Linked DNA regions of Oryctolagus cuniculus. The protein of the gene in region 2 purifies or fractionates together with the protein of the main gene of each other region. This does not show direct contact. Links are inferred from orthologs where the notes say so. Each region holds a gene or a part of one and is shown on either strand. Other genes may lie near its edges.

Evidence for each region.
Region 1: the proteins of LIMK2 (region 2) and TTC1 purify together in Homo sapiens (affinity purification with mass spectrometry; 3 studies listed by BioGRID and IntAct, counting the BioPlex papers as one, with this or other methods). This does not show direct contact. The link is inferred for Oryctolagus cuniculus from reciprocal best matches to the Homo sapiens genes LIMK2 and TTC1.

The regions. Positions count from the first base shown.
Region 1 is NC_091437.1:46,979,170-46,985,599, reverse strand, and holds part of TTC1 (tetratricopeptide repeat protein 1), read right to left. Parts: intron 4,433-6,430; coding exon 4,372-4,432; intron 2,348-4,371; coding exon 2,235-2,347; intron 1-2,234.
Region 2 is NC_091452.1:24,429,214-24,434,695, reverse strand, and holds the end of LIMK2 (LIM domain kinase 2), read right to left. Parts: intron 3,848-5,482; coding exon 3,703-3,847; 3' UTR 2,158-3,702; downstream 1-2,157. UniProt on the Homo sapiens protein: Serine/threonine-protein kinase that plays an essential role in the regulation of actin filament dynamics. Acts downstream of several Rho family GTPase signal transduction pathways.

The DNA.
Region 1 (6,430 bases), on a different chromosome or scaffold from region 2:
GATCCGCCCAGCTCCGGCTGTTGCAGCAATCTGAGGAGTGAGATCAGCAGATGAAAGATCTCTCTTGTTCTCTGTGCCTCTGCCTCTCTGTAACTCTGCCTTTCAAATAAAATAAATCTATTTTATTCATTTGAAAGGCAGAGTTACAGGGGTTGGGAGGAAGAGAAGAGAGAGAGATTAATCAATCTTCCATCTGCTGGTTCATTCCCACATGGGTGCAGGGGCCCAAGCTGTCCTCCACTACATTCTCAGGCGCATTAGCAGGGAGCTGCATCTGAAGTGGAACAACCAGGACTCAAACTGGAGCCCATATGGGATGCCAGTGTTGCAGGGGACAGTTTACCAAACTACAGCACAAGCCTGGCCCCCTTAATTTCTATTTATAGATAGATACTTATGTCTCTATTAAAAACATGTACAGAATACATAAGGAAAAGACAAATGTTCATAATACTCTTACGGGACAAATCCACACATTTAAAACAATGCACATGATATATGAAGACATTAATTTTAAAACTATTTTTTTAAAGCTATTAATTTTAAAGCTATTCTTTAGGACTTTGCTAGCTAGACCTGAGGCAGAAACTCAGCGCTAATACTCATTTGCTTTTTTCTCCCTCCAGATATAAAACGTGAAGTTTGGTTGGGGCATTCAGGGATGCTGAGTCTGCAAACCTGCCTTTCAGAAATTCTTAAAGCAGTTAACTCATCACATCCCTGCAAAGTCCCAAATAAGCTCCTTAAATTGACATAAGGCACTAATCCTGGAAGTTTTCAAGACTCTATCTTCAATAAACAAAACTACCCTTAGCACAATGAACAGTCCATGAGCAATGCTCTTTTGAGTTCTCCTTGGATGTGACAAAAGACTAGCAAGAACTTATATTTGTCTAACTCAAGAACAGGTCTATTATGCTAGTCCCCAAACCTGAAACTATCAACAACTTGGGCAATTGCAGAAACAAAAAATCCTAAATTCCAGAAGCTAGAGGCATATGGTACATTTTCTCTGACAATGAATTGTAAACTTGATCCCAAACAACAAGGTCCAGAGTCTGAGAATGTGGCAAGATGGAGAAGCAAATGCAACAGCTCACAATTTTCCACCTGTGTCAAAACTGTTAACTATGAATTCCATTAGCTGTAGACTACATTAATGAATACTGTTTTAAATTCATGTAAAACAACTGTTCTATTTTCCCTAATACAAAATGCTCATTCACACATTCTGTAAAATTATTTTTCTCATATCATGAAACACTTCAAAAATATTTCACTTTAAAGATTGAATCCAATAATACCTAAGTCACAGTTAAAAGAAAACCACAAATGTTTTTGCATGTCTAAGCATGCAAGTACACACCCAACCTCCTGCTTTTTTAAAAAACTCATTGGTAGAGGCACTGGAGAATTCCGGGCAGTATCAAAGAGAAAGAGACAGAGACACCCGATCTAAACCAGTATCAAAAAACCACTTCACCCAATCTTGAGCCAGCTTCATAGCTGCTTAGAGGAAGGTTAAATAGCTTACTCTTTGCATTTTGGATTAAGTAGCTGTAAGTAAACACGAGGTACTTAAAACTTTTATCATTTCAATCTAGTAAGACTTTGTTGACTTGGAAAAATCAGACAAGTCGGCAATAAATCTAACCCTTAATAACAATATGGCATAAAACAAATGCATTTGCACGATCACCCACTTCACATTCTATACCATATTCTCTATCCTATGGAAATACAAAATGCTGTGAACTTTCCCTGACATCTGTTTTGCATTTAAGGATACCTTTCATCTCAGGGGCAATATTTAACAGAAAAACCAGAACCTTAGGAACAAGCATCTGTAAGTCTACAGTTTTGTTCAGTGTTTCCCTGTGCCTTTATCTAGAATTCCAGAAGCCTAAAATAAGCAGCTGCAGCTATTTTGAGAAATGCACTACTTGGCTCCTTGCTCATTAATCTATCCCAGTTTAGTGGAAACTTGGAGCCTTCCTTCCTTGAACATATTCACTCAGCTACTATAGTGGGGAGCAGTAATAGTAATTTCACTCAAGTTTTTCAAAATGTTTTTCTGTCTTGCGCATGTCCTTTGCATCAGGGAAATAAATACATGGTCAGGAAAAGGTGGTTAGTAACCTGAAGACCCTGCACTAGTTTTTGGAAAGAAACTATCCTTCTGAAACAGTTCAAGTTCACATGCTTCTTAAAAAGAAAAGGTCAAACATTCATACCTGTTTCATCCTTGCCGCAGCTCTATTTGAAAACAGAATAGACCTGTCTTTCTGGAAGCAGGATGGGCACATCTGAAGGGCTTGACTATATGAGCTTTCAGCTTCTATATAATCTGAGGATGACAAGGTAAAGGGTGAGCAGTCAATCTGACTTAATTCCTGACACTACTATATTCCATAGGATCTCAGTATGCATCACTTTCCATTCATAGGACAAAGATTTCAAACAAAAAGTATTACAGTCTATTAAGTTTGGGGCAGTAAAAATCATCCCCCCCTTTCCTTTCCCTTTAAAGAAATAGTGCTTGCTTGTGCCAGTCTCATGAAGTAAGGCTGGTGAACTGACAGCTAACTATGCTGTCAGTGAAGACAGCTCAGTGCTCGAGAGTTTGCATGCCACAGATACTCAGGTCACCTTTGCCTTGTCATTCTAGAAAGGAGCTTCCCAAGGAAGTTTAGGAATTGGACAGATGCGAAAGACTGAAGTCTGAGATCTGCAGTTGGTATTTAACCTAGCAATTGAGATGCATGCATCCCATATTAAAATACTGGGTTTCAATACCTGACTCCACTTTTCACTAAGGCAGACGGTGGGCAGCAATGGTGGTGGCTGAAATCATTGGGTTCCTGCCACTCACGTGGGAGATCAGGGTTGGGTTTCCAGCTCCCAGCTTTGACCTGGCCCAGCCCAGGCCATTGTAGGCATTTGGGAAGTGAATAAGCAGACAGGAGTTCTGTCATTTTCCCTCTTAACTCTCTGCCATTCAAACTTAAAAAAAAAAAAAAAAAGTCTTAGATCCATGACCTGGGCAAATTCTGTGTATGTACTTTCATTAAAATTACTGTGCTTTCATATAGTCAACTTGACTGAAATGGTATCTGTGAAATATCTGCAGAGACATTTTACAGACCTAACAGCATCAATGTAAAAATCAAAACTTAGCTAAAAACTTTGAAACAGAAAATGCTGATAAAATCTATGTATTCTTCATAATATGCAGAAGTATACTCAGAGAAAATGCCTGTGATTCTTTTCTCAGTTTTGAAATATTTAATACTAACACAAAAAGGGATATGCTTTCAAATTTGGAACTACAAGGCTTTATTACATAAAGAATACCTATATCTGCTAAATCAGGATATAACAAAGGCAATGTAAAACTGCAAAATAACTAGGAGATAATTTTAACACTCATAGATTTATTTAAAGGCATGGCTTTTTAATTTAATTAATTTATTTGAAAGGAGGAGAGAGGAAGAGGCGGGGAGAGGAACGGAGAATGAGCTCCCATCTGCTAATTTACTCCTGCAAACCCCCCAGCTGCTGGGGCTGGGCCACACCAAAGTCAGGAGGCAGGAACTCAACCTACATCTTCCATATGAGTGGCAGGGACTCAGCTTCTTGAGCTATCACTTAATGCCTACCAGGGTGTGTGTTAGCAGGAAGCTGGAATCAGGAGTGGAGTCGGGACTGGTACCTAGGTACTCTGCTATGAAATGCAGGCATCTTAACTGCTGTGCCAAACATCCTCCCCACTCCTATATCTCTTCTGAAGCATATACATTTTGAGACGTGACAAAAAGATGTTAGAAGATCAAATAGTTTCCCTTCGATTATTGCGATGAACCTCAACTTACTCCTAACCAACTGTAGGAAATGTAGAGGGGATGAAGAACATCTGTCTACCTAAGGCATCCAAAGAAAAAGGAACAGGAAAAAGCAATCAGAGAACGAGTAAAGGACTTCCCTAGGTCTTGCTGCAGCCATGAGGCCTGTTTTCACACAGCACTGTACCAAGTGAGGATTGCCGACTCTGCTTTACAGGAGTACAGCAAACAACCAACCTTTTAACATTCAAGGATAGTGTTTTCACAAGGCAATAGCTTAAGAGTTTACCTTGATTTCTGCATTAATAATGGATTATAGAAAAGACAAACTTTGGCTGGTCACAGTCAGCTGAGAAATATTTGGACATGGTAATTGAAAAAGACTCCAAGAAGCTGGGAAGCAATACTGTGTCATGAACAGTTTAGGCCTGCTAGCTGTTTCCAAATGTTCTTTGGTGTTTGTTGACAGACTCTAAAAACAGGTTGAAGAGTCAAGGTAACCAGCCATCAGTGCTAAGCAGAATCTTACCTCCTTTCTTAAACTGTTCATTTCCCTCCTCCTTTAATCTAGTGCTCTCTTCTCTTCTTCTCTGAAACAGATCAAAGAATTAGATAATTTCTCACAGTATTATCAAAGGTGAACAAAAAGGTCAGCTTTCTTATCACAGAAGTGTATTTAATTGGTAGCAACTTGATTTTTTTTTTTTTAAGTTTGTTTTCAGAGGCCAGAGTTGTGGCATAGCAATGCTGGCATCCCATATGGGTTCCTGTTTGAATCCTGGTGGCTCCACTTCCAATCCAGATCACTGGATGCGCCTGGGAAAGCATAACATGGCCCAAGTGCTGCTTGAGCCCCTGCCCCCACTTGAGAGATTCAGATGAAGCTCCTAGTTCTTGCCTTTGGCCTGGCCCAGGCCCAGTTATTGCAGCCATTTGGGAGTGAACTGTTGGGTGGAAGATCTCTCTCTGTCTCTCTTTCTAACTCTGCCTTTCAAATAAATAAAAATAAATCTTAAAAAATAAAGTTTGTTTCCATCTATTTGGAAGACAAAGTGACAAAGGGAGAGATCATCTATCTGCTGGTTCATACTCCAAATGCCTGCAACAGCCGGTGCTAGGGCAGGCCCAAGCCAGTAGCTAGAAGCCAAAAAGTCCATCCAGGTTGCAACCTCTGAGTTATAGGGCTCCAAGCACTTGAGCCATCATCTGATGCCTACTGGGTGTGCATTAGCAGGAAGTGGTTCAAAAGAAGAGTGGCCAGGACTTGAACTGGCACTTCAATATGGGATGTAGGCATCCCAAAAAACAGTTTAACCCACTGCGCCACAAAACCCACTCCACAACTCAACTTCTGAGAACTAAGTCATTTTTACTTAAACTTTAAGAATAGTAATAGGAGAAAAAAAAAAAGGTCATCTGGCTAATCATCAATTGTACTCTTGATGGTTAAGTCACAAAACTTAAGTTTTCTTAGTCATATCCTTTATTCCCTATGTTCCTATCATTTGCATGGAATGGTAATTTCAGCATCATTTAATGTCTGTTTGTTCAAAAGTGAAACTAAGCAAGATACCAGTGTATATTCAAGTTCTGATTTTACTACTTGTTAGCAGCATGATTATGGACAAGTTTCAGAATTATTCTGGGCTTTAGCTTCTTCATATAACTTCATTAACACTTTTATGGATTAATGTTTAATAAGCTAATGTGATAATGTAAGCAAAACAATATAAGGACTAGCAAATGAGGGCTAAGTAAATTATTTTTTTTTCCTGTGAGATAAGTAATTTAATAGTTATTTAGTGGTCGGTGCCATGGCTCACTAGGCTAATCCTCCACCTTGCGGCGCCGGCACACCGGGTTCTAGTCCCGGTCGGGGCGCCGGATTCTGTCCTGGTTGCCCCTCTTCCAGGCCAGCTCTCTGCTGTGGCCAGGGAGTGCAGTGGAGGATGGCCCAAGTCCTTGGGCCCTGCACCTGCATGGGAGACCAGGAGAAGCACCTGGCTCCTGCCATTGGATCAGCGTGGTGCGCCAGCCACAGCGCGCAGGCTGCGGCGGCCATTGGAGGGTGAACCAACGGCAAAGGAAGACCTTTCTCTGTCTCTCTCTCTCACTGTCCACTCTGCCTGTCAAAAAAATAAAATAAAAAAAATTAAAAAAATAGTTATTTAGCTAGATCTGTGATCTGTGGTCTGTTTTATGAAGGAGACAGACCATATGTTGAGCAGAGCACACTGTGTAGATACGCCTTGTCTTCAGGGTCAGGGCAGTATAATGTTAGCAGGTCCAGAAAGGAAAATCTGAGGAAACCTAGACATTTATCACTCTTTTCTTCGCTTCTTCTAACAACTCAGAAATTTACCCAGATGGCCAAATAGCCAACAAGCACAGTGCAAGCCAGGAAGAATCCTGCAAAGCAAGAGATCTATGCCAAGTCTGTGTATTTTCTTCCTGGAACATTTTATTTATTTTTTAAAAATATTTATTTATTCATTTTAAAGTCAGAGTTACAGAGAGGCAGAGGTAGAGAGAAGGAGGTCTTCTATCTGCTGGTTCACTCCCAAGATGGCCGCAACGGCTGGAGCTGC
Region 2 (5,482 bases):
TTATTCATAGTTAAGGTCAGGCAGGCCAAGAGGCAGTGGCACTGAAAAAAATATATTTAGTCTTGAAAATATTCAGGATGGAACTCCCTGCTGACCTCTGAGAACCGGAAACGGGTCTGTACAGAAGTCAGAGCTTGTGGGCTGAGGACAGGATCTGGGCTGGGGGCTGTTGGGTGTGCTCCAGCTTGCTAGCAGTGATGTGCCTTGACAACTGTGGGCCGGGCCTGGGCCCAGGGACCCTTCCTTGTTTCCTAAGGGAAGGAAGGGAAGAATTGCACTAAACATTCCACTTAGGAAGAAGGCAGAGAAGGGTCTGCTCCTGCCATAGGCCACAGGGGCAGAGGTGGACCTGAGGTGCCCAGACAGCGTCCCGGCAGGGTTGGGCAGTGACCTCATTTTGTACGGGTAAGAGAGCAGCCAGCTAACCCATGAGAATCGCACTGTGGGCCCTGTGACCCGCTTCTGAGAAGTAAACTTGGAGAGCAAGGTTAACAAAGCATTTCCGGGCTTGCTGTGCAGTGGGCCCGAGTTTGGAGGTGGCCCTGTGGCCTCCAGGCCAGTGCCTTCCTATGGGGCAGTGGGGCTAGGGTCAGATCCCCTAACCTGCAGAACAACTGTGGAGCCATCGGAAAGGACCGTAGGGTTCTTCAAGCCTTTTGGACACAGGGAGGGAGGAGCGACTCGCCCAAGGTCAGAGAGCAGGCTCCTGGCACGGCCGAGAGGGGAGCCCGGCTGCCTGACCGAGCGCCAACATTTCTCCAATGCACTGTGCTGCACTGTGCTAGGGGCTCGGCGGGCCCTCCAAGTCCTGACGTCACACTTGGAGGCCCTGGCCGTGCTCCCTAGCCACAGGGCTTCCTTCCCAGAGCCCTTCTACTGCCCGAAGTGGAGAGGGGGGTGAGTGGAGCCCCCCCAGCAGACTGTTCCCGGGAACCATCTGCTGAGGGGGCCTAGACCTCAGGGGGTCCCCTGGTGTTCATGATGCTGGAGTAGAGAACATTACTGGTTTCTACTTTTCTATAACAGCGTTTCTCTGTACACGTTTTATATACCTCATACTGACACCTGCGTATAAAGTACGAGAAGTTGCTCTGCATCGGACTTATATTAAAAACAAACAAAAACACAACATTGTTGGGTTTTTTTTGAGTGCCACAAGCACTCCCCCTGTAAGTTAGGAAGCTTCAGGTCACCTCATCAAAGCCTGTGCGGCAAGCGCTGGCCTGCTCTTTGCTCACCCTAGACCAGAAACTGGAAGGCTCTCGAACCCGAGGGCGGCAGCCGTTGATAGACTCTGCTTCCTGGTCGCCGCTCTCAGCAGGAATCTCCCAGGTCGGAAGCACGAGTGGGTGGGCCACAGGAAGCACGAGTGGGTGGGCATCCCAAGACGGCGAGCGGTCATCGCCAAGCTCTCCCCGAGGGGGAGTGAGGTCACAGCCCGTGTCAGGGCTGGGGTCGGGGACGGTACCGCAGCAGCCAGGGGCTGAGGGAGGTCCCCGCAGGCCGATTCCCAGGGCTCCAGGACAGTTGGTTCTGAGCCGCCAGGAATCCGCAGGGTGACCTGTGCCTGTGCCCAGCCATCGCTCTATAGTTCCACCACTACCCCCAGATCATCAGGATTTTCAGGAACCAAGTTCTGCTCTTGTCCTGGATCCCTCAAGCCCCGGGAGTGCTTGAGAGGAATTACCTTTAGGTTTATGGGTTCATATTGTGCCCACGACCCCCAGCTAGGCAGACGGCATCATCCCGCCCAGTGGTCACTCCGCGTCCTGCTGTACGCAGAAGGCACGAGCAGCGGGGCTTCTCCACGCCCACCCTTGGGGTGGGCTGACCTGCATTCATTTCTCCCCACTGCAAGGGTGAACCCAGCCCTGTGGAGAGAGAGCCAGGAGGCCCGGGCTGGAGAAGTGCTCCTGTGTCAGAGGTCAGAGTGCAGGGCTGAGAGGAAGGACCCAGCCCGAGACAGAACAAGGAAGAGCAGCCTGGCCACGAGGAGGGCAGACCTGCTGCCTCAGCCGGATCCCACATTTTCTGGCGTGGGCTGGTGTGTGGCACGAGGAGGAGGGGAGGACACTGGGTGCCCGAGCACTGCCTGTGGTGGGCAGCTGTGTGGCCTGGGCCACCTCCGAGTCACCTTTTCACTCTCAGGCTCGTCACTCAGGTAACCGCTTGATTTATTTAGTCTGCTCAGCGGCCCAGCTCAGGCCCACCCGGCCCGTGCTTGCTGCCACACGAGGCCGAGCCAGGCTGCTGCTGCTGCGAGTCCCGGGCTCGACCCGCCGCGAGCTTGCGAGCTGCACACGCAAGGGCAGTCTGCATCGCCAGAGATGACACCTGATCCCACCACTCATCAGGTCTATGTACAACATTTCACATCTCACCCACCAGATGGAACGACAAGGGAATATTAACAGCAACCACTCTCCAGGGCCACACCCCCTCCCCACAGTACAACCACCCCAAACCACTCCCGATTTGTTAAATATGGTGCAAGCTCACAGCCACTTAGGAGGCAAATCCAAGTCATGCTGAAGAATGCCCGGAGCTCTGGGAGCCCAGGTGGGGGACCTCAGGCTGTCCAGTGCCCTTGGTCCTGCAGGGTGGCTCAGGGGGCTGTGGCCAGCGGCTAGTGAGTTGGGCCAGCCAACAAAGGAGGTAGAAGGCCCAGTCAGGGAGCTGTCTCCCAGCATCTCAGCTCTGGGGCTCTGCCTCTCCCTCTTCACAACTCAAGCTGCTACCTGGACCAGGCACACAGAAGGGTGACACTGCCGACGCCCACTCCCCAGCCTCAGACTCCAGGCCTGTGGCAAGCCAGGCTGTCCTCCGGAAACCATCCAGCTCCAGCCAGTGTGTCTTAGGGGTCTGCCTGAGGAGCCCACCAAGGCCTGAGTGACAGGAGCTAGGACATGGGCTTTTGAGGAGGCAGGGCCTCTTTCTTCCCGGCCCCCAGCCTCTTCCTGTGCTCGTGGGTGACTTGCTTGGTGCAGACAGAAAGGATGTCACCCAGAAACTTCTCAGCCAGCCTCCAGCAGTAGAGTTTGGTTCCTGGCCTGTGGGAGCCCCACTCTCCCCCCACTTTGATACGGTCCCAGAGCTGGCGCGAGCCACCCCCTGGCAGGTGAGCAGACACCAGCCCTCCTATCCTTGCCTCCTGGCCACTGGACTAAGGGACTCTTCAAGGCCTGCTCCCTTCCCCTCTGCCCCAGGGAGGGCAGGACCTGAAGGGCACACGGGGAGCACCACTGTCATCTCACGCTCTTCCAGTGCCACCGGCCATCAGTCTTTCGTCCACACGCCCGCTTGAAGTCCTCCTGCACCCCGGGACACTGCCCAGCAGGTCCAGGTCATGCCGATTAGTGTAAGCAGGAGCCTCCCGGGATCCCAGGGCCAGGGAGTCCCCGAGTGGTCCCAAGTAACACATTCCTCCTGGCACACGGTCCAGGCTCGTGTCTCTTCTTCACAGCTTTGAGGTGAGTGTTGGATTGAGCGACAGTGACCACCAGGCTCCGGAACCTGTGGAGGTGCACGTCCCTGGCGCTGCACCTGCTTGCCTCCTGGGGAGGTAGTAGGGATGGCTTGTTCTGCTTCTAGACAAGCCGCCAATCCACAGGAAGCCAGGACGGCCCTGCTCACCGCAGGGGTCGGGCGCAGAGGGGGCAAGGCGGGCTGGGGCACGCCCCCCTGCAGGGGGCTGGCCCGGGGCTAGGGAGGCGAGTCCCGGGTCAGGCCGTACTGCACGCTCACAGTGTGGTCCAGCTCCTCCAGCTCTGCCGGCAGCGGAATGCCCAGCTCCCCCAGGTAGAGGGAGAGGGCCTCGAAGGAGTCCTCCAGCTTTGAGAAGGCCGGCCTAGAAAGAAGGGGAGGAGATGAGAGGCAGGGCCGTGGGCTGGAGTGGGAGGGAGCCAGGCTCACGGCTCACTCACTTCCTGGTCCTATGACCTCCTGCAAACCCCGTAACTTCCTCGTGCCTCCCTGGGAAGTGGGAGTAACATAGGGCTACTGCTGACTCCCAGGGCTGCTGTGAAGACTAAAGGCAACGCTGGGAGGAGTCTGGCCTGGCTGGAGGGAGAACTTAACAAAAAGCAGGCCCCTCCCTCATCTCAGAAAACAAATGGTCCAAGGTGGGAGTGGAAGAGTCCCTTTGTGGAGGTCCCTTTCCAGGCCCCAGGCTTGTTGTTTCCACACCAGCTGAGCTGCCCCGTGTGAGGGACGTTTTATGGATGTGGCAGCTCTTTGAGAAGAGAATGAAAACACCAGGTTCCTGGGGCCGGCGCTGTGGCGTAGAGGGTAAAGCTGCCGCCTGCAGTGCATGTTTCCCATATGGGCGCCAGTTCAAGTCCCGGCTGTTCCACTTCCCATCCAGTTCTCTGCTGTGGCCTGGGAAAGCAGTAGAGGATGGCCCAAGTCCTTGGGTCCCTGCACCCGTGTGGGAGACCTGGAAGAAACTCCTGGCTCCTGGCTTCGGATCAGTGCAGCTCCAGCCGTTGTGGCCATCTGGGGAATGACCCAGCGGATGGAAGACCTCTCTCTCTGCCTCTCCTCTCTGTGTAATTCTGACTTTCAAATAAATAAAATAAATATTTTTAAAGAAAAAGAACGAAAACATCAGGTTCCTAATGCTGTGACCCTGGCATGGCTGCCCTGGAACCGAACACATCCCAGGCTTCGTCTCGCTCTTCGTTCCCTTCCTTCACATTTTCGCTTAAACATGGCGCCATCTGGGTGAGAACCACTCCGACCTCCCCAGTCACCACCTGGACCCTGAGCGAGCCTCTCTCCTCGGCTGGGCGTTCACAGCCTCGGTCGCCTTCTAGTGCTCACTACGGTTTACTTAGTCCACTGTTGATCGTGTCTGCTTGCCCCGGCGTGAGCTCGCGAAGGCAGGCACCTCTGCTTTTTGTTCACGGCTGTAACCCAAGCGCTGGGAAAAGCACCTGACACACAGCTGGCACTCAGTGCATTTTTAACAAGCGAGTTAAAGGCACACATTTCGAATGCCTGTGAAGGGATGTCAGCACACAAGTACTGTGCGGTCTCCCGATTTTTCCACTAGTGCTTACCCCGCGGTCACTGAGGGACCACAAAGCACAGAGATGGAGCTTCTTCTACCACCGAACTGCAACTCTCACGTGGGCCTTTGGAAATCACTTTTAAATAAAGATCAGGCGCCAAATGCTCACCCCAGGAGAGTGGAGTGCGCGTGAGAATATCGGGGCGCATACCGGCAGCGGAGATTATAGGAGACCTGTATTTCCTGTGCCATATGCTTTACTAATGTTTGAATTTCCCTTCTTTTTCCCTCTTTTTTTTTTAATTTAATTTAATTTTTTGACAGGCAGAGCGGACAGTGAGAGAGAGAGACAGAGAGAAAGGTCTTCCTTTGCCGTTGGTTCACCCTCCAATGGCTGCCGCGGCCGGCGCACTGCGCTGATCTGATGGCAGGAGCCAGGTACTTATCCTGGTCTCCCATGGGGTGCAGGGC